Linked DNA regions of Caenorhabditis elegans. The gene in region 1 interacts genetically with each later gene. Each region holds a gene or a part of one and is shown in the gene's direction. Other genes may lie near its edges. The genes, in order: spn-4, asd-2, rbm-3.2 and vig-1.

Region 1 (5,418 bases):
ATTCCTCACATCAGTCGGTGGAGATGGATGAGATCGTTTTACAATAGTCAGCAAATTGTGATTATTGATGGAAACTCCCCATTTACTGGTTGATTTTTTGCCTTTGAACACACCTGAAATTCAGTTAATTTAGATATTTTCTCAGCTAAAACCACAAAATTACTTTTAGCTGCACTGAACGTCATGGTGATAGTTTTCGGTTGAAGTAGCTTATCGATATCTGGCCAACGGCTTAGTCGAGTCAACGCTGAGACGATCGTTTGAGTGGCAAGTCGATCATTGAATCGGATCAATGTTTGAACTGATGGTAGAGAAGCTGCAGATGTCTGTAATACATCGATTATGAATGATTTTGCAACGTTCTGAAGAGTAATGTACCGGTGAATCGTCGTAATGGTACATCGCTGAATAATACAGTGACGATAGAGCAGGTAATCCAATTAGAGAGCTGGTTTTTGGAAACTTTCGGAAATGTTCTCCTTTATCTCCAGCATCCATTTTCTCCATTTGCAATTGGATTTCATAGTTTCTCATCAACGCTTCCATTTGTCGGGCTTCAAATTTCATTTCAGGAATTGAGAAGCTACCATGAAGCATGGTTCGGAGCAACGGGACTCGCTTGTCTGGATTTCGTTTGTATTTTCGCGTAGCTTCGAATTCAATGACAGATGCATGTTGATACTGACCAATGCTACTATAAAATGGGGAAATTGATTTCAACAAATTTTAATTTAGTTTTTATTAAATACCGTAAAAACTTGTTCATCTTGTCCCACTCGCCGGTGATCTGAAGATGTCGTGTGTAAACTCGGCATGCACTTTTCTGGCCATCCATTATTTTGCAGAATATGTTTTCCTTGAGAGTTCTCTCTAGAAAAATCACAATCTGTAAAGAAAGATAACTTTTTAAAAAATTAGTATCATAGCTGTTCGGACCTTGAAAATTGTATTATTGTCGTACGTGGCAACTGCTTGCTTCAAAAGTTGTGTCTTATCACGTAATGACCTATAGTAATCCAGTGTTACAGTATGCCCTTGAAGCATTCTCTTGATACTAGCCTCGATTGTAAGCGGCTGAAACCGTTCGTGGCGAAGAACCTAGAATCATAATTATCTTCAAAATTCTATATTAAAACTTTAATAGCTAACTTCGTGCTGATCTTTAAGTTTCCGATGTTCTTGTCTCAATCGATTATAATCCAAATCAAGACGTTGTGCTTCACTTGGTAAACTACTTGCACTTGCTTCAGAAACCACAGATGGAGCGGTCTGAATAACTGGCGCCACGTTAACGTTCTCAGCGAATTTCATGTTCAAGAAATCATCTACAATCTTGCCAGAAGCCCGAGGAGAGGTACTGCAAATTACTTATTTATATTCATAAAACAATGTAATTAACTTACTCTGTTATTCGAATATTCGCCTTGTCTGACACAGCAGCAGCTCTTCCGTCAATTTGCAGTGGAACATTTGTGGGAGTTGGCGTTGGGTTCTGCGGTCGGACGTACGGCTTCGGAGTCTCATCGCCACCGAAGAGATTGTCGACGGCTGCTCGAGCTTGAAGCTTTAATTTTCGTGTTAAACACATTGATTTGAGCAATATAATAATTAAGAAACGTGTTAATTTACTTTTTTTTCAATTTTTTAAAAGTAAAACATCTGGTCACGTTTATAGTTTTAAAAGATTTTTTTCGTTTTTTCTTAATATAATAACTACGTTAAAACTTACTTGTTTTGATTGTAAATCATCAAACAATCCGGATGAATTCGAGTCAGATTCATTCCAATAACTGTCTTCCGGAAGTTCAAAAGTGAATTTCCTTCGAAGGGCCATTCTTTATAATATTATCATTTCTTTTGCAAAGTATCTGAAAGAAACTATAAGAATGAGAAAAAATAGATAAAATTTTATGGGAAAATGGGAAAAGAATTCAATAAAAAATAAATGCAGAGAAAAAAAACGCAATTGACATGAAACGAGAAAAAGAGAAGAAAGGCAACTGCGTGCACGCTCCTTGCAAAAACTGCGTGCCAGGATTGCGAAGGCGGGGCTTATGAATGAAGCGCGAGTTTGAATCAAATAAAATTATTTTTTGCTCTTGGCCTAAAGAAAATCGAATTAAAGCTTTAGTTTCTAGTAATTCGTAAAATAATTTTTTTAATCGAAAATAGAACACAAAATTGTCTAGTTATATTAACTTTTAGACCTGATCCGACGTTCGTATGAACTAGAAATCTAGAAGATCACAAAGGCGCGAAATTTTGATTTTAGATTTTTCTGTAACTCGGTGGCGGGAAAATGTGAAATTATATTTTCAATCGTTTTATCATCATTTGGAATCATTTCTGCACTTGTCTTCTGTTGTCTTGTCTTTTCTTTACCCAGTTCCTCATTTTTCTTTATTCAACTTTTTTTTTCAGAATGCAAAACACACAGATATTTACTAACTTCGCTCACAGAGCACATGATGGGTATGTTTATCATTTTTAAATGTTGGTATTAAGTATTTCTTTTTCAGATTACCGTTTAACAGTGCGAATCCTTCCAACAAAGATCCAATTTTCACAATGCCAATATCGGTCAAACCGAAAACTCGTGAGCCGGCTTCTTTCACAGATAACAGGTAAATTTGTCGTGCCGTTTTAATGAATTCATCAAAAAACTTTTAGGATATATGTCAGCAATATTCCCTTCTCGTTTCGTGAACAAGATTTGGCGGCAATGTTCTTCGCGTGAGTTTTCAATTTACAACAAGTTCTGAATAAGAATATTAATTTCAGATATGGAAGAGTCCTGAGTGTGGAAATCGTCACAAATGATCGTGGATCCAAAGGGTTCGGGTTTGTCACACTCGATTCCATCGAATCCTGTGAGAAAGCTCGTGCTGCGCTTCACGAATCACATGTTCAAGGAAGAATTATAGAAGTGAGAAGAGCGACACCAACCCGCAGAAAGCTTATCAACAATCCACAAAATGAAGTTTTGCCACCACCAAAGCTGTGTGTCGATCTTCGAGCCCCTCATAATTTATGGAGAGCTGAGCCAATGCATCAGTTGTTCAAGGAAAAGGAGAACACAACATGTTTTCCCGAAGCTGGATTCATGATGGCACCATACCGTAGCAATGGAATTTTCAACACGCGTAGTCTTGTGCAGACCAAACCACCTCGATGCACCAAGCACAGCGAGCTCAAGCTTTCTTCAGCTGGTGAATACTTCTGCAAAAACGGCGAGCCTACGACGGAAACAAGTATTCTGATGTGCATGCACAGACAAAACTCACCATGCAGCAATAAGTGTTCTGATTCTTCGAATCACGAGCTGTCTGATGTGGAGTTGAACTCTATATTCCCACATCATCTTCGTGACCAGATTACTGCTCTTCTCGACACTTCAAACCATTTTGGATCAGGAAATAATAGTGCTAACAAAGGAAAGAGAGCACCATCTGTGACATCTTCTGGATTGAGATCATCAGAGAGCGAGACAGTTTCAGGTAAATAGTTTAGATTCTAGATTGTCGATTTTCATTTAAAAATCAAATTTTAGACGAAGAGATTCATTGGTCCCCACATAACAGCCCTGATTATCTTCTCGCTGCTCTCTACGAAGGTTCCACATCGTTCCACGGAAAGTCTGTTTCTCCACCAAAAGAATCGTCAAGCCAGTAATCAGTTCAACTGATACGCCCATTTTATTTCTACTAACTGCGTGTTTTGCATTTTATCGAACACCCCTAAACTTTCACTTAACCAAAAAGCTTTAACAAATTTTTTACGGAATCTTCTTGTACAGCGACACTCGTTGTCCTTGTCAAATGATTCGTTGCTAGTTTTTCTTCCCTGTAGCTTCTATATCGACCCCCCCGGTGTTATTTTGTAGGAATGCGTTTCAGCATCTTCCCTATTTTGCCATCTCTCACATACACTCAACATTAGCAATCGGAAAACAGATCTTCTATATTGAAAATATACTACCAGTCCGTTTAACCTACCTCGCTTGCTAACATTATTGAATGTGCCCACGTATTGTATTTTCTGAGCATCTTTCTGTTTTTTTTGTATTTTATAGACGCTGTGTTCGCCAGTTATTTTTGCATTCCTGTATTGCTCGAAGTCAAATGAAGTGCTTCGCCATATTCAATTGTTTTATTTTCAAAATCACCCGTTAATACTAGATTTCAGTTTGAATTTAATCACAGTTGTGAAAGATCATTATCCCGGCGTGTCATTGAGAGATCAAATGTTATCTTTCGGCACCTCTTGGCCTTCCTCCATTCATGATCAGAAGATTCACTCTCTTCTAAAATGACGTCGTGAGAGACTGCGGGAAGAGAAAAGGACGATGGCTGTCGGCACTTTGTGGATGCTGCTGGAAAAGTTTGGTGAATTTTGAAGTTTTGTGGTTTTTGATGATAACTTCAAAATGGATGGGAAAACACGAGAGAGAGAGAGAAACTTACGGATTTGAAGAGTGGGTGGAGAGGAAGGGTACAAACTGCTTCGCTCCTCATCATTTCCTGTGCCACGTCGACTTCGATTTTGACGACTTGAAAGTGTTGCGAAGAAGGACATTCGACGGGATTTCGATCGTCGACAACCACCGCTTACCCAACAAAATAGGCACGAAACAGGAATGAAGATACCTGAAATAAATATGCATTATTAGGCAAACTTGGAATTTTCATAGTTTTTTCCTATAGATTTTGATTTTCTCTAAAATTCCCCAGCGCCTATATTACAGGAACACTATTTACATTTTGAGAATGCGAATTGCACAACATCTGACGCGCAAAATATCTCGTAGCGAAAACTACAGTAATTTTTTAAATGACTACTGTAGTGCTCGTGTCGATTTACGGGCTCAATTTTCGAAAATATTTTCTCGAACTTTGGCAGCGATTATCAATTAAAATTATTTACAATTCGAAAAAGCGAAGCAAAATTGAAACCCGCTGTCCAAATTCGAAAAGAAAACATTTTCGAAAATCGACACGAGCACTACAGTAGTCATTTAAAAAAATTACTGTAGTTTTCGCTACGAGATATTTTGCTCAATACGCATTCTTGAAATTCAGTGTTCTCGTAATATCATATAGGAATGGCCCCTTAACACACTAAAACAAGAATCCCGACATGTAATTTGTCACCATCTTCGTTTTCTTCCCAAAAACAATATAGTTATTTTCTTTCCATATTTTTTGACGTCAACTTTCAAAATAGGCAATTATTTTCACCCAATCTCTTTCAGCACACCGCGGATTATGCATCTCTTTGCCTGCTTTGCGTTCACCGCTTATTCATCAACATGAGAAGAGCTCAGTGACGAGTTAAAACAAACAAGAAACGAAGAGTTCCGTCTGCAATTACTCCCTTTACTCGTTTCACCGAAAAAAGCAAACGAACGGGTGCTCTGAA
Region 2 (6,142 bases), on another chromosome or scaffold:
GCGCGCATCATAAAATGCGCATCATAAAAGCGGGCGTCTTCAATATCTTTTTTATTTTTTCAGCAGAACTAGAAAAAACATGTCAAGAACACACGTATTTTTCGAAATAATATAATTCTGGTTTCTGCCTCATTTCGTGTCAATTTTGGATTTACCAAGTATTTCCCATCTCCGCCCATTGTTCTGTTCATGTCGTCGACCGGTCGCCTCTTCAACCGTCGATTACACATTTAACATCTCAATTGCCTTCTCCGCCGTGTACATTTTATTCAGTTTTCTTTTTTTTACGTCAAAATCGATCCCTTTAAGCGAATTCGCATGTGAATAAATCTAAATCTTCGAAAGATTGAATCCGAAATTTAAAAAATTACAGTACTCACCGATACTTTTTCAGTCACCGTGTAAATTCTCCTTTTCGTTTTTTTTTCTTCCTTTGTTTTCGCTGGTTTTCTTTGGTTTTTTTTTCACGAAATCTGTCCCAAATGACGGCTATTTCGAGGATTTTATGACGCTTGAATGTTTGCAAACAAACGGCTTTTTGCCTCCGACGACCCATCGTTGACTTGTTGAAAGCCTAAATTTCCAAAAAAAAAAGTTGAAAACAACAGAAATTCTGTCTGACATTCTCGCGTTAGTGTGTCTGCTATTTATGCAGAAATACTCCTGTAAATAAAATTTTTATCACGAAAGTAGATTTATTTTTTCCAGTCCACAAAATAGATCCGCAGTTATGCAGAAACTTGTGATAATCCGACGAATAAATATCAAAAACATCTCGAGTTCCCATTCAAGTTAATCATTTTCACAAATTTAACTCAACTAGATGATCAACTCAACATCTCTCCAGATACCTGTCACTAGAAATTATATCGTTCTGTTTCCTTTCACCATTTTCTTGCCTTCCGCTTTCATTTTTTCCTCATAAAACGAATCATGGGAACCCCGAAAAGATAGTGTTGATTGAACGGAGACGGATGATGGAAAAAGAAGAAAATACGCGCGCACACATGTTGTCAGTGATGGCTTTCCAGTGATTTTCCAATTTTTATTCGCGTGTGTTCTATATTGAGCTGCTCATCGAATGGATAAGTGTTTATTCTCTAATTACATTCGGATTGTTTTCCATATTGAACATAGTTAGTTACCGAAGAGATTATCTTCTCATCAAGTCTTTGCAATTAATGATATTTTCTAGAAAGGTTTTTTGCGGCGTCCATTTTTTCAAATTCTTGACGGAAATCCGACATTTAGAGCCAATCAATTGAGACAAAGTCGGGGTCCTTTAGTGCTTCCCGATGGCCTCAAATAGCAACAACTGGTGCGGAAAAGTGGGCAAAGAAGAATAAGAGGTCACCTGGCATCGTTACAACTGATCCGCCTGTCATTCTGTCCGTCTAAATCTCTCTAATCCGTAATCTATCGTCATATAAGTTTTCCTGAGCTCATCATCATGTCTTTCACTCTTTCTCTTCGTCCACTTCTCACTCATTTAAGCTTATTCCTTCTTCCTTTGCTTCTCGTTCGAATACTAAAAGAAAGGGTGTATGAAGATGATGACTATAATTAAATCTGCACGCGGCATGTATTAATTCATATTTAGTGGTGGTAGAGGACTCATAGTTTTCTTCATTCCCTCTACCGTGCAGTGAGACATTACTTTTGGAAAAATTTATTGAACTTTACAATAAATTTGAAATATGTAAAGTTGACATATATTTATACCGATACGATAGGGAAGCCAGCTTTTACGAGCACTTTTCCAGAAAACTTGTGTTTTACATCGAAAATACATTTAGCATGAATCTTTTCGCTCAAAATATTTCTGAAAATCTGAAAATGCGAACCCTAATTAATATTTAATTCGATTCGCGGATTTGCCAAATTCTCTTGTTATTCCTCGAATTTCTGGAAAACCCACATCTCGTTTTCTTTCTCTAATATAATCTTAATTCAGATTGAGCAATTCTAAACTTTCAATTTTTCCAATAAATTTTCTTAATACTCTTTACCCTTCCAATACCCTATCCAAAATACTTTCGTGTCAATTTTTCCAAGAATTATTCATATTTTTGAGGTGCAACTCTCACCCCAGTAAGAGAAGATTTTCATTTTTACACGAGGTAGCTTATAAATATCGATGAACTTATTTTTCCAAACAATCTGAGCTTCTCAAATCGAAGCAACAAGTGATATCACATTCAAAATAATTTCTGTCAATGTGGACAATTTCAGTCAGTTATTTGAAAAATACTGAAATTTAAAAAACCTTGCCATTGGAAAATATTCATTCATTGAAAGTATGCTTTCAATATTCTTGCCTCTTATTTCTTTTAGTGCCGCATTCCAACGATGACCTTCTCATTGCAATACATTTGAAAAATGAAAGTGTATGCCGACTGCCTAGGTGTTACGTAACTTGCCATCCAGCCGATTCGGTTTCTTCTCATTTGTTTATTCGCAAATAAAACACCTTATGCTTCTTAGCTCACTTTATCTTTATAGATTTTTATTAATTCAAAAATGACTCCAGTTTTAAATGTTTAATTTCCAGCCGTATTCCTGTCTTCACGCCACCCAATCGATTCTTCAAGTGCTAGGAGCTGTCAGGTAAGCTGTTATTTCTTTTAAAAATTTGTATTTAACTGTAAATAAGTAGAAAACCATTAACTTGAGAAAAGTTCTTCCAATATCCTTTCACCAATTTTATTCTCGTGTCTCGGACAATTCTATTATTCCATCATGCAAGCAATGTACCGGAAAATTGGTGCATTCATAAGGTGCATTCATAAGGCCATCCTTCAATTTCCTTTTACAAATGTTACCTTTTATTGTTTTTATTTTCGGTCCTCTTCCCCTTTACCTACTTTGTTCGGAGCTTTATAATCCTACAGTAATCTCTTAAATCTGAACCAGTTCCCATTGAATTCTTCTTTCCTCTACTTTTTAACATCGATGAATGTGGGTAACCACGGGTGTTAATATCGGGCAATAACGAAATAGTGCAGACTTCACTGGAGAGACCGTCAGAGAAATACCGACAAAGTATGTAATTATGTTCTCCTCCTTTCACCATCACTTCGATGTATTTACTTGCAAGTTTGGAGTTTGTTCACATTTTCAATTCTCCCTCTTATTCTTTTTTAAGGTCAATGCTTTCAGTTCAAAAATAATAAAGCCATATCACTTTATTAAAATTCCATAAAAATCTAGAATACCGTATTCAATATTAACTCTTTGCGTTGTTTTCTTAGGGACCATGAATCAGAAGTTGAGGATTTGACTAAAAAGGATATGGTTATAAATTCAAATAAATGAATCATTCAAACCTGACGTGATACATGCTCATTGATTATTTCGATGTTTCTAACTTTCGAATCAGTAACCTGATTCTTGACGATTTCGTGGAAATGAGTTACATTAACAACATTTTGATACTCAGACTCTCCCATCTTGAAAATCAGAAGTTGCTGTTTCTTCAGGTTCATCGATAATTGAGTCTCAATTCCGAGTCGTTTAACAGTATAAATTCCGCATGATTTCTCACTTTCACTGCCGTAGGGAAAATAGGAAGCACAGTTTGCAGTTTCTTCTGAAATTTAATTTTTTTTTGAAATCTGAGGTTTAAAATTTTACCCGGGTCTAAATCAGATATAGTGTGAATTGTTGGAATTCCTTTATGTAGAATCATTTGCCAAAAGTCTTGTGTCTGTTCTGGATCTGGACTGTTGGCATAAATTTGAATGACATTATTCAGACGGTTTTGAGATTGAATTGGATATGAGCCGAGCGATTTCTGTAGATCAAATTCCTCGGTTTCCAGTTTAACGAGATTTTCAACTTCGTCAGCTCCGCCAATTTGTCTTGATTGGCATCCAGACAGTGAGATCTGAGATGATGAAGAGGTCAGGAAACCCAAATAGCAAGATTTTTCGTAGAGAGCCTTTCTATAAAGAATGTTCGATTTTCATTTCACGGTATCGAAATCAAACCTAGCGTTGGCCGCCTGAATAGGTTGTGTCACGAAATCTGGAACACTGGATCCTTTCTTTTCAATGAGATATGAATTACGCTCCACAAGTCTATCCCGGAGAGGACTGAACTGCATTGGACCATGAAAAAGCCAGTGTTGAGTTGGCTTTAAAAATATAAGATTTATTATTTATTTTTTGATAAAAGCTTACCATATCATTCAAAAGATCTTTTCGAAGATTCTCAAACTCTTCATCTTCTTTTGTATAATCTTTTGATGGATATTCTTGAATATCTCGTTGACAGTGCCAAACAACATACCAACCATAATTTTCTGGTCTAAAAGTTAAAATCAAATCAGTATTAGTAATCTGAACACATTAACTTACACTAGTTTGCATCTTACTGCAAACTTTTGAATTTTGCAATGTCGATATGGATATTCTGGATCTGTCAATCGTCGTACAATTATCTGTCCACATTTGAGAATCTCTTGTTTATCGTCAGGAATATATTGCTTACAGTTGGCCCCTCGTTTCTCCAAAAACTTTCCAAACATTGTAATCAAGCTGATGCGATCTTTATGGCACTGAGTCCAAAAATCTTGTGTTCGAGTTGCGTCAGGGCCCTGAAAGAGTTATAGTGCATTTATTAATTATAATTTCACTTACCAGACATTCGAATTCCAACCCATGACCATTGATTGAAGACTCTACCATGTCAAACTCGTAGCTATTCAGAACTTGCTGACAGCAGGTTTTTTCTGAAATAAAATAACGATACTTGCGATGAAATAAACTGAAACTCACTATCTCTTTCATAATCCTCCTTTGTTGGAATCAATAAATTGGGCTCCGAGTCTTTGTGATTTTCATATTTTTCAAGAAGAGCATTCATATCATACTTTGGCCATCCATTTTCATCATCACTCAAATCAGTTAATAAATCATCAGCTTTACATTCAAGTTCATCAATTTCCTTCAAAATCTCTTCTTTTGGTTTTGATTTACCATAATTCCCAGGAATTCTTCCATGTTCGAGTTCGAAAAGTTCCTTTGGTGTAAGCATGGTTTTACGCTGTTTCAAAAATTCTCGATAGTTTTCCGAGCATACAAGTTCCCTTATATTGGAATGAGTTACATCAATTCCCTGATTGGCAAGATATAACAATGGATCAAATATCGACTCAACACTATCATCACTGGATTGTATATCAAGATGTTCATCGTCAACGCCACTTCCGGTAACATCCACCTCACTTCCAGAAGACACACGTGAGACTTCGGAGACATCACGAGAGATTCTTGAATCGGGAATCGATTCTTCGCATGTTTCTGGAATGACCGGCACTTCCAATATGAAATCTTGAGACTTTGCAACAACGGCGGGACCAGATTCAATATCGACTTTTGTATAATATCGATCCGCTGGTGGCGAGATTTTCGCCTTTTTTGATGATTTTGCACCCATTTTGTGCAAGTTGGAAGACTTCAAAACTCGTAGAAGTTTAAAATGATTGTCTTCGCAAGATTTTATAATCGTGGTTTATTGATCTTCCCTTGTGTACGTTGAAATCAATAATTATGTTTTCAAATGTTTTCACGTCAAAAATGGATTCGTTTTCAAGAATGTTCATATTTTCTGAATATTATCATTCAGTCTTTCTTCAAATGATTTTTAAAAAATAACATTTTTTAATTTTTCTTTGAACAACTCGTGCTCATCCCCTTTCGAACGCTTCTACTGGAACACTTGTTCCATTTTTCGATCCGTTTACATCATCTTATTTTTTAAATTTTGTCACACCAAGCAGTAAAATCCTAAGTGTATATGTCTCTATGTCTCTTTGGAAGACACTTCCGGTATCCGGAAGAGCCGACGGATGCGCGCGCCAATCCTTGTGCGACTGCGGCACTGCAATGGAGAGATGACGGCGGCAATGTTGAAAATGATCACAACAACCGAATAAATGATATATTCATCTTGCGTTAAAAAACACGATTTTCTTCTAATTCCGATAAGATCTTCATTCGAATAATTATATTAAAATGTGCCAAAGCTTCTTGTTATCAATTCTTCCTTTTTTTAAATTCAGATTCTCTTTAAAGCTTGGAGTATTATTTTCTTTTATTGTAGCTTTTTCAAACTGAACATTAAAAAAATTAGGAAAAAA
Region 3 (4,315 bases), on another chromosome or scaffold:
ATTTATACGAATCTCAACTTCTCTAAACCTCTATTGATCCTCAAATCTATTTAAATCTTTCGTTAAATCGACAATTAAAAAATTTCCGTCGTCAAGTGTGGTGCCGGTGGTGCATACACCGCCGCGCACAAATGCACAGATTTCGGCGTTTTCGAATTTTTATCGGATTTCTTTTCTCTATATTTTAAAGGATATTTTCTATCGTTTCTTGTCTAAAAACACAGTTTTTATCGAATTTATCACAATATAAACCTATTTATCATCTTTCTTTTGTGAATTTTCACTGAAAAATCAGGTTTTTTTACCTTGAAATTCTAATTTTCACCCGGTTTTATTTAATGGATGTTTGGATTTTCTCAATTCCTATTTATTTTCAGAATGAGCGGCGAAGAAGAGAAGGCAGCGGACTTTTACGTTCGTTACTACGTTGGACACAAGGTAGGTCTTGGAAAATCTTGGAAAAATGACAATTTTCGCCAATTTAAATTAGTTTACGAAACAATTTTCAGGGAAAATTCGGTCACGAATTTCTCGAATTCGAATTCCGTCCAAACGGATCGCTTCGCTACGCGAACAACTCCAACTACAAGAATGACACGATGATCCGCAAAGAGGCGACAGTGTCGGAATCGGTGCTCAGCGAGCTCAAGCGTATCATCGAAGACTCGGAAATCATGCAGGAGGACGATGACAATTGGCCAGAACCAGACAAGATTGGACGCCAGGAGCTGGAAATTCTGTACAAAAACGAGCACATCTCGTTTACGACCGGCAAAATCGGAGCTCTAGCCGATGTGAACAACTCGAAAGATCCGGATGGTCTCCGCTCGTTCTACTATCTCGTTCAGGATCTCAAGTGCCTCGTCTTCTCGCTCATTGGCCTTCACTTCAAGATCAAGCCAATCTAATTTAATTCCTTCAGACTCTGTTCTATTTTATCCACCAAATCTCTTTAACTTGTTTAATTTATTCGATTTTCTCTTCTCTTCTTAAGTTCTCAAATTTCTCAAGAATAAATTTTATTTCTTTCAAAAAGTACAGTTAGAAAAAGTCTGAGAGGTGGGGGAAAAGTTAGAATCAAAATCAATTTCATAGGGGGGGTCAATTCACAGGCCATTTGTAATCCGATCCGTTGGTCCTTAGCAATATCTAGAAATGTATTCCCGAACACGATGATTGAACGATTCGCGATTCTGACTCCACATCTGGGCGGCTTGAATGTTCAGCGCGTCGTTGAAGTCCATAAGATCGTTGAACAGTGAGACGAGTCCGTGGACGACGTCGGTGAGGTTACGCGTTGGACGCCATCCGTATTGATCCAACGAGTTTTGACGCAAAATCGATAGACAAATCGATCCGTCCTCGTTGATATTTGGATGCCAAACCTTTGTCAGGCACTTAACAACGGGCGGCACGTTGTTGTACTCTGGCGGGACGGTGATCTTGAATCGGAATTTGCCTCCACGATAGATTCCTTCTTGAGGTGTCACGGTGAGTTCCAACTCATGAAGACACGATGTTGATGGGACCTCGAGATGCCACAGCTTTTGCTTCTGATCGCGAAGAGCAGTCTCCAGCTGTTGGAGTTCTGAAAATGTTGTAAAATCAAAATTTTTTATAAAGCAGCCACATACCCTGAGCTAGGAGCTTGTCACGGACGGCGATGCGGGTTTCAAGATACCGACCGTCCTCGTTGTTGCCGTTGATTCGTTTTTGAAGATTGAACATTCTGAAAGCGAAAAATTAAGAAATACGATAATTTTCAGCGATATAGGCGGCGCATACGGAAACATAGAGAAAATAATCGTTTTTTTGGCAAAATTACAGTGTAAAAGGGTCAAAAATCGATGAAAATCTTGTAATTCAGCGAAAAAACGACAAATTACGTGAGAAAATGAAACAATTGCTATGAAAAATGACAGAGAATGAGGAATAAAAGACGCAGCGTTTGCTAACGCTGAAATGACTAAAGGGGGCGGAGCGCGAACGCAAGGCTGGCACACTTTTACCGCAAGTGCCGCACGGTTTCCCACGAGTCGGAGGAGGCAAGCGAAAACGATTCGAATCACACATATTTACGCTCCGGCCTAAAATCGTCATGTCTGGATTCTCTGTTTACGGTTAGTTTTGTTAATTGTAAATTATTCAAGTAGAAAACTGGAATATTCAGCTTTAAAAGCAGATTTTAATCGAGAAAAGCCGAATTTAAAGTCTGGCCTAAAATTTTTATTTTTCTCCAGGCGTTTTTCTATTTATTGTATTTGATTAGGCTGAGATAATTTGAGTTTTTAATAATTTTAATGCATTTTTCAGTCGGAAACGCTCCATTCCAAACTACCGAGGACGACCTTGGCAACTACTTCAGCCAGGCTGGAAACGTCAGCAACGTCAGGTAAGCTTCTCTCCCCGAAATCTCCTCTTCCCGAAACCTCCTGAACGACGACCCGTTAACTCTCAATATGAATCTCTATTTTCAGAATCGTTTGCGACCGCGAGACCGGACGTCCACGTGGATTCGCCTTCGTCGAGTTCACCGAGGAGGCCGCTGCCCAGAGAGCCGTCGACCAATTCAACGGAGTCGATTTCAACGGAAGAGCTCTACGCGTCAACTTGGCTCAAAACAGAAACAACTAATTTTCATATCGGTACTTTGTTACTTGTTTGATCTTTAATGATCTCAATAATAATAAACCCATGAAATCGTTATCATAAATATATATGCTCTATTTTTTTATTTCGAATCTTCATTTGGGGTCAATCTGATGGCAAGCGTTGAGGCTAGAAGCTTGAAGGAACGGCTTCGGTTCGAGCAAGTTTTGAATCCTGGGCTATGCGCAGCCCAATGTGAGCTTACAACTGAAAATTCAAGTTTCAACACTCTTCGCGGTCTTATTTTGGACTAATTCCTCATATTTTCAGCTTGAAATGGAAAAAATCTGTCGAAATCGATGCTATTCGAGGGGCGGGGCCAAAACGCAACCCTGGCACGGTTTTTACGCAACTGCCGCACGTTTTCTCCAAGGCAGGGTGAGCGGAAAAATTAAACCGTCATAAATTTTCTGCTACGGCCTAAAATCGTCATGTCTGGAATCTTCTCTGTTTACGGTTAGTTTTTTAATAATTTATTTTAAGTATTAAACAATCGGAAACTGGTTAAAATAGCCAATAAAACTCGATATTGTCCTGAAATTTTGGGATTTTTCGGAAAAATCGAATTCGCGAAGTTTTCCCTAATATTTTCATTTGAAAAGGCAATTTTAAGTGTTTAGATTCAAATTTGGTTGCGAAATATTTAAATCAATTAAAATTTTCCTTTTTTTTAGTTGGAAACGCTCCATTCCAGACCACCGAGGAGGAGCTTGGAAACTTCTTCAGCAGCATCGGACAAATCAACAACGTCAGGTAACTCTCCCAGCCAGCCCGAGCTTCATGATTTCTAACGCAATATCTCTTTCAGAATCGTCTGTGATCGCGAAACCGGACGTCCACGTGGATTCGCCTTCATCGAGTTCGCCGAGGAAGGATCCGCACAGAGAGCCGTCGAGCAGATGAATGGAGCCGAGTTCAATGGAAGACCACTCCGCGTCAACCTCGCCAACAAATAAGTTGATCTTCATATCGGGTTTTTGTTACTTTTTTGCTCTTCACTGATCTCATTATTAATAACAATCCAATGAAACTATCGATTTAATTATTTAATTCAATTTCAACTATTCTCTAACTAATCTGTTCAACATTCGGGGAAGTTTCTCTATTTGTCATCCTTCCATCCGCCGACCTGATTCAACTTTCTTCTTCCCCAGCTGCTCCGTTCAAGAGCCTACTCGACTACTAACCTGTTGCTGAAAATGTCGAAGCGAAAAGCAGAAGAAGCACCAGCACCAAAGCTCGCCTCGATCTTCACAAAGAAGGTGAAGCCGGCAGAAGAGGACAATAATCAGAAAAGCTGGAAGTTTGTGTGCTGGAACGTGGCAGGGCTCAGAGCTTGTGTGAAGAAAAGTGATTTTAAGGAAGTGCTCGCCGAGGAGCCTGACCTCGTTTTTCTAGGAGAGACCAAGTGTAAGGAGTGGCCCCCGGAGATGGAGGAGACGTTTAAGGTAAGGAATTCCTGGAAGAAAAGAGATTTTTCGCATATTTTACGGCCGGGTTTCATCAAAAATATGTTTATTAACACATTTTAAACGAAAAAACGTAGAAATTTCCATTAAATCCAAGCGGAAATTCACTATTTTTCCTGAAATCTACAAAGAAAATCGCAATTCAAAAGAAATTTGCATAAAAATAACATTTAAAAGTCAAAATTCTACCAGATTTC
Region 4 (5,927 bases), on another chromosome or scaffold:
AGCCGGAAGGACTCGGCGAGCAGCTTTATGGATCCGTGGAGTAGTACTTTCAATTTGGCGCCCAGTGAATCGAATCATTCCCTTGGAGAATCCACGTTTAATTTGTCACAGTCTACCGGGAATTTATTGCAGGTAAGGCTTCAGGCTTCAGGCTTAAGATTCAGGGTTCAAGAAACTCGAAAATGTTGATTTTTTTTTCAAATTTCAGGCCACAATATCCGAACAGCGAATTCCGCTAGCCATGGCCATCAACGAGCACGTGCATGTTTGGTTCAAAAAAGGAGCCGAAGAGTTCATTCAGCGCACTTTCGGCACCGTAATGATATCATTTCCAACGTCATCAATAACTCTTCTCACGTCCATCCAACACGAAATTGAGCCACTAGCATTCCGGCTCTCAAATGCTAAATTCATTAAATCAGTGCTCCCCAACAAGCAACTTATCGATGAGAATGTGAGCAAAAAGGACGACGAGATGTGCATTTTCTACTTTAACAAGACCCATCTTGCCACGTGGCTTCAAGCACAGAAGCTCGCGAAGCCGGATGCGGCATTTGTGAACGCGGAGGTCGCGCGGTTCGAAATGGAGCCGACGGCACCGTGTAATATGGTTCCGCCGCTATTCCTGACGTCGTACTGGAAATTCGAACCTGGACACACTGGTTCGTCGAGAAATCTTCTGTGTTTTTGAGAAAATTTGAATTTTTAATATTAATTGCGAAAAATTGATGGGTCTGCTAATTAAGAGTTTGTAGTTTGTAGTCTAGCAGACCAAAATTTCCTAAAAAGCGCAGTAATTGATTGGTCTGCTAAATAAGACTTTGTAGTTTGTAGTCTAGCAGACCAAAATTTATTAAAAACTGCAGAAAATTGATGGGTCTGCTAATTAAGAGTTTGTAGTTTGTAGTCTAGCAGACCAAAATTTATTAAAAACTGCAGAAAATTGATAGGTCTGCTAAATTTGATTTTGTAGTTTGTAGTGTAGCAGACCAAAATTTATTAAAAACTGCAGAAAATTGATGGGTCTGCTAATTAAGAGTTTGTAGTTTGTAGTCTAGCAGACCAAAATTTATTAAAAACTGCAGAAAATTGATAGGTCTGCTAAATTTGATTTTGTAGTTTGTAGTGTAGCAGACCCAAATTTTTTATTGAAATTGGCAAAATTGCTGAGTCTGCTAAATAAAATTGAGTTTTTTGTAGTACTTTTTAAATGCAAACGCCAAAAATAAAGCCTAATAATAAAAATCCGCATTTCTTTTCAGATCTCCGTGTCGACTATCGCCTCAACTCAGAATCTTCCATCTCGGCGCCACTTCTCAACGTGAATTTCAGCACAAATTTGACGGGAAGCGTGGATTCTGTGATGTGTGAGCCAGAAGCCAAATGGGTGGCTGGAAATCCGTCACTCGGCTGGAATTTGCTGGAAATTTCAAGAAATGGAGATGTGCACGGATCGCTGAAAGCAAGGATATTTATGAAGAATTCTGGGGTCGGGCTTTTTAATTGCTTTAAAATAAAAAATATATAATTTTCCAGGACGAAGTAAGCTTGGAAATGCTCGATCGGAAGCCGGCGCAGGTCTTCGTGCAATTTCAGGTACTAAAAACTGAAATTTAAGCTCTTAATTTATCTTTTTCAGTGCCTGGAAGCCAATCTATCTGGAGTGGACATTTCCCTAGTGCAATCGGATATTTATCACCTGTCTATGATTCGTAAAAAGGTGCTCGCTGGTAAATATTTTTGTGATCCCGAGCTGCGGAAATAGAGAAGATGAAGAGCTTTTTAATTTGATTTTTGTTTTAATTTTTCTGTGTAAATATAGCATAATTCTCGCGAAATCTGTGATTTTAACAAACTTTCAACTTCTAGTTTTCCAATTTTTCACCACCAAACGAGTTTTTCCACTATTATTCGTTATCCCCCGCTGTAATAAATACTTTTTCCCGGCATTTTTACTTTTTTTACACACATTTTGGGCTGGAAATGTCATAAATTTCTTTTCAAATACTTTAAGACAACAAAAACAATTGGAAAACAAGTTTTCCCCCAACCAAAAATTGATTGAAAATGGCCGAGGACTAGTTTTCGATTTCAAACTGCCGCCCATTTCGGCGGTCGCATTTGGCTGCGTAGCGGCTCGCAAACGCCAGTTTACACTATTGTGATACGCAGCCAAACCTTCACCTGTCCGATTTGAACAGTTTTTCCGATTTTTTTTGACCGTTTTCGCCGGTTTTTTGTAATTTTTTGGGTTGCTAGCAGTAAATCACCGATTTTTGATCAAAATTGCACTGAAAAATGTTTATTTTATTCCGAAATAGTGGATTTTGAGCAATTGTTGATTTTCTGACTTTTGATTCGATTTCTTTCTGGAACATTCAAAAATTCCCTTAAGAAAATGCAATTTGCTTTTTTTATTTTTTGATTTTAGTTGTGAAAAGTGCTTAACTGATTTAAAATATCGCAACGGTGTCTGGCTAATTATACTCTTTTCTTAAATATCGATTTTTGTTTGAAAATTTGAAATCTAAACTAACGTTCTTGCAGGTATCCCCATATTATGGGTTATTGATTAACTTGGCATTGAAATTATTGAATTGAACAGAAGCTTCCTGCACTTGGAATCTTATCTTCATCGAATCAACACAAACAGCAAAAATGAGCACTGAATACGGTTGCCAGGTCACCAACAAGTTCGGTCTTCCATCCGACGACGACGATGGTGAGTGGTTGATGATGATGATCGCCGGATGATTATCTTATCTTCCCGATGGGATATTGCGCAATATTCATATGCGATATACTCCGCCCAGAAGACATTATAAAAAATCGATAATTTGCAGAGTATGACGACCCAAGAGAGCTCATCCAAAAGGTGTCTCAAATCGCCGCCAAGAAGAAGGAGGAAAAGTCTGTGAAGCCCGCCCAGCCGGTCAAGCCAGCCGCTGCTCCAGTTGGTAAGAATTGGCATTCCTATTCTTAAATTAATTAAACATTATTTCAGCCGCCACCAAAACCGACGGTGCTGCTGGACGTGGACGCGGAGGACGTGGTCGCGGACGCGGGGGAGCCGGCCGTCCACGTGACGGAGAACGTGTCTCCAACGAGAACGGTGATCGTCCACAAGGCGAGAACCGTCGTGGAGGACCCCGCAGAGGCGGTGAGCGCGGTGCTGCTCGTCCAGCTGGGTAAGAAACGCTTAAATTTTTAATTTTTTTTTTCATTTTACTGAACTTTGTATTTTAGACGTGGAGGCCGCGGAGGATTCACTCGCGAGAACAGAGAAGGAGAGGAGCCAAAGCAAGAGGTCTCTTTCGAAGACGGACAAGATACCCGTGCCCCAAGACGTCGTGGAGGATTCACCCTTGGAGGTGGACCATCTGGCGGACGTGGAGGAGGCCGTGGTGGACGTGGGCGTCAATTCGATCGTCAATCCGGATCCGACCGTACCGGAGTTCGCTCATTCGACAAGAAGGACGGACACGGAAAGGGCAACTGGGGAGACCAGAAGGACGAGTTGGCTGGAGAAACCGAGAACATTGCTCCAGAGGGCGCTGAGAGCACCGAGCCAGAGGTTCCACGTGAGAAGACCGCTGAGGAGCTCGCCTACGAGGCTGAGTTGGCTGTTCTTGCCAAGCAAAAGACTCTTAAGGAGTTCAAGGCTGCGGCTAAGGTGAGTCGTATAAAATATTAGTTTTGGAATTTATTTTTTTTTTTGTTTCAGGCTGACGCTCCAAAGTTCAACACCAGAAAGGCCGGAGAGGGAGCCGCCGATACTTTTGGCAAGCTCGTTCCAATCAAGAAGGAGGTCATCCCAGATCGTGAGGAAGACGAGGTCGTCGTAATCCACAAGGCTCCAAGAAAGCAAGTGCTCGACATTTCGATCACTTTCCGCAACGATCGTCCAGAACGCGAGCGCAACGACCGTTCTGAGAGGCCGCAACGTGGAGGACCAAGAGGAGGTGGACGCGGTGGAGGCCGTGGAGGACAACGTCAAGGAGGTCATGGAGGACGCAACAACACTCCATTCAACGCTTCTGACGATGCTTTCCCAGCTCTCGGTGCCAAGTAATTCCCCCCCCCCCACTCAACGACCTTCAGCCAACCAACCAATTCGCCCGCCCTCATTCAAATGCTCTGTTCTTCTCTCCATCTTGTTTTCTTCAAAATTCTCCTCTTTTCAATATCTTTGCCTGTGCCCATCTACCCCACAAATTGTTCGTTTCCAAAATGCCTGTTTCTTATTTTTCTTTTTTTTCTAGTTCCCCCATTTAGCTTGTTGTTGTTATCACCTGCCTTATCGATCTCTCTTCTGATGAGTTGCCCTCGATTTGGTTTGCTTGTTATCTCCCGTTTTTTCTTTAATTTTTAAGCCCTTTGAATCCCTTGATCTTCCACATACACCCACCAAGACGACCTCTTCTTTACCAAATATTTGACACAACAAAAGGTCTCAATTGTGTCAAGGATCAACGAACTAGTACTAGGAAACTCAATTTGTGCCCCTTCCAACCACCACCCCATTGCGCCCAGGTTTCGTTTTAATTGGAGTTTGTTGTTAACAAGATTTGATAAAGCATCATTTTTGTGTTAAACACCCCAATCATTCTATATCACACACACACACAAACACCCATTTTTCTTCTTTTTGCCTCCACACACCCCCCCCCCCCCCCCCCACCCAACTGTATCCGTATTTTGTAATAAAACGGTCTAAACCAACCACAGGGGCGTGGCCTGACACATGCCATTTCTAGGCCGCGAGCCGAGTGCTCTGATTCTCTGCCGCCTCTTTTAGAGAGCCGCGACGTCTTCTTCAGCGGGAGAGAGGGAGCACCCCCCCCCCTCCCCATTGCTCGGCAAAAACTTTTGCTCTCCTTTCACTTCTTATTGATTTCCCTTCTGTTAGCCGCCTAAATTAGAATTTTTAATTCTTCAGATTCTCAATAGAGCGAGCTTGCGTTCGAAATAATTTAATTTTTAATTAAATCTTCCTGCGACTCTTCTCTCTTTGGAAATTGCTATTTCGCAAGTTTAGTAACGATTTTATGACAGCAGCGGCGTCCGAATTTGAAATTGAATTAGGTCCCCTGAGAAGCTTTTTAGACTATAAACTACAATTCTGAAATGGCAGACCAATGAGAATTTGGTCTGCTAGACTACAAACTAGAGTCTGTGTTTAGCAGACCCATGAGCTTTTGAAGAGTTTTGGTCTGCTAGGCTACAAACTACAAGTCGTATTTAGCAGACCCAAATTATTAGAGTTTCGTATGGGTCTGCTGGACTACAAACTACAATTATTTAACAGACCAATCTTAAATTAAAAATTGACTGAATTTAGGGATTTTTTTTTCAGTTTTTAGCTCTCAAGACACTGTTTACAGCAGAAGAGAAGTACAATTCATTTTATTTTTAAAAAAAATGCTCAAAAATGGTTTTTCCCTTAAATTGGTCTGCTAGACTACAAACTACACAAAAGAATTAGACCCAAGCTGACGTGAGTTTTGGCCGATTTTTGAAAGTTTTATCATGTTTTGAATGAATTGTGCTGCTGTGTAACAGATAATTTTTCAAATATTCAGTTTTTGTCAACATTTTGCGAAAATTAGAGCTTCGAAATGGGCCCCCCAAATTGGTCTGCTAGACTACAAACTACATTTTGTATTTAGCAGACCAAAATCTTGAAGACCCCGCGAAAAGTTGTATTTTTTCTCCAATTTCCCCTTCCTTTTCCTAATTGAATTCCGTGCAATTCAGTGCCCCCCACCCGAAGCTTCTTCTCTTGTCTGACCTAATTTGATCTACCGGGATATCGGAGTGTCGTAGTGCTGCCACGTCATTTTTTTCTGTGTCTCCTTAAATACATACTAATTTTCAATTCTAGAGAATAGGAAATTTATGTAGACTATTAATATTAATGTTTAAAT

The links.
Region 2: of spn-4 (region 1) and asd-2, a change in one rescues a mutant of the other (synthetic rescue), as found in Caenorhabditis elegans (one study listed by BioGRID).
Region 3: of spn-4 (region 1) and rbm-3.2, a change in one rescues a mutant of the other (synthetic rescue), as found in Caenorhabditis elegans (one study listed by BioGRID).
Region 4: of spn-4 (region 1) and vig-1, a change in one rescues a mutant of the other (synthetic rescue), as found in Caenorhabditis elegans (one study listed by BioGRID).

Annotation. Positions count from the first base shown.
Region 1 is NC_003283.11:6,781,907-6,787,324, reverse strand, and holds spn-4 (RRM domain-containing protein), read left to right. Parts: upstream 1-2,421; 5' UTR 2,422-2,422; coding exon 2,423-2,472; intron 2,473-2,519; coding exon 2,520-2,624; intron 2,625-2,670; coding exon 2,671-2,733; intron 2,734-2,781; coding exon 2,782-3,497; intron 3,498-3,550; coding exon 3,551-3,672; 3' UTR 3,673-4,138; downstream 4,139-5,418. Other genes in the region: spe-39 (Spermatogenesis-defective protein 39), read right to left, coding at 10-113, 164-326, 379-694, 750-886, 937-1,098, 1,150-1,357, 1,404-1,564, 1,730-1,834; ZC404.15 (uncharacterized protein), read right to left, coding at 4,197-4,372, 4,464-4,646.
Region 2 is NC_003279.8:6,888,551-6,894,692, reverse strand, and holds the start of asd-2 (K Homology domain-containing protein), read left to right. Parts: upstream 1-2,549; 5' UTR 2,550-2,607; intron 2,608-3,170; exon of another isoform or gene 3,171-3,247; coding exon of another isoform or gene 3,248-3,280; intron 3,281-3,326; coding exon of another isoform or gene 3,327-3,589; intron 3,590-3,633; coding exon of another isoform or gene 3,634-3,944; intron 3,945-3,989; coding exon of another isoform or gene 3,990-4,135; intron 4,136-4,181; coding exon of another isoform or gene 4,182-4,308; intron 4,309-4,358; coding exon of another isoform or gene 4,359-4,597; intron 4,598-4,640; coding exon of another isoform or gene 4,641-4,732; intron 4,733-4,778; coding exon of another isoform or gene 4,779-5,439; exon of another isoform or gene 5,440-5,491; intron 5,492-5,808; exon of another isoform or gene 5,809-5,949; intron 5,950-6,142. Other genes in the region: C48B6.4 (Tyrosine-protein phosphatase domain-containing protein), read right to left, coding at 3,248-3,280, 3,327-3,589, 3,634-3,944, 3,990-4,135, 4,182-4,308, 4,359-4,597, 4,641-4,732, 4,779-5,439. UniProt on the Caenorhabditis elegans protein: RNA-binding protein that binds to the 5'-NACUAAY-N(1,20)-UAAY-3' consensus sequence in pre-mRNA introns to promote alternative splicing.
Region 3 is NC_003279.8:11,908,740-11,913,054, reverse strand, and holds rbm-3.2 (RRM domain-containing protein), read left to right. Parts: upstream 1-2,033; 5' UTR 2,034-2,098; coding exon 2,099-2,120; intron 2,121-2,313; coding exon 2,314-2,392; intron 2,393-2,477; coding exon 2,478-2,634; 3' UTR 2,635-2,727; downstream 2,728-4,315. Other genes in the region: mag-1 (Protein mago nashi homolog), read left to right, coding at 379-438, 510-908; NEDD8-conjugating enzyme ubc-12, read right to left, coding at 1,140-1,588, 1,635-1,728; rbm-3.1 (RRM domain-containing protein), read left to right, coding at 3,081-3,105, 3,324-3,402, 3,458-3,605; exo-3 (exodeoxyribonuclease III), read left to right, coding at 3,849-4,097.
Region 4 is NC_003280.10:1,318,490-1,324,416, forward strand, and holds vig-1 (Hyaluronan/mRNA-binding protein domain-containing protein), read left to right. Parts: upstream 1-2,547; 5' UTR 2,548-2,658; coding exon 2,659-2,722; intron 2,723-2,843; coding exon 2,844-2,957; intron 2,958-3,004; coding exon 3,005-3,188; intron 3,189-3,246; coding exon 3,247-3,673; intron 3,674-3,724; coding exon 3,725-4,072; 3' UTR 4,073-4,584; downstream 4,585-5,927. Other genes in the region: fcho-1 (FCH domain only protein 2), read left to right, coding at 1-132, 209-662, 1,263-1,489, 1,537-1,596, 1,640-1,765.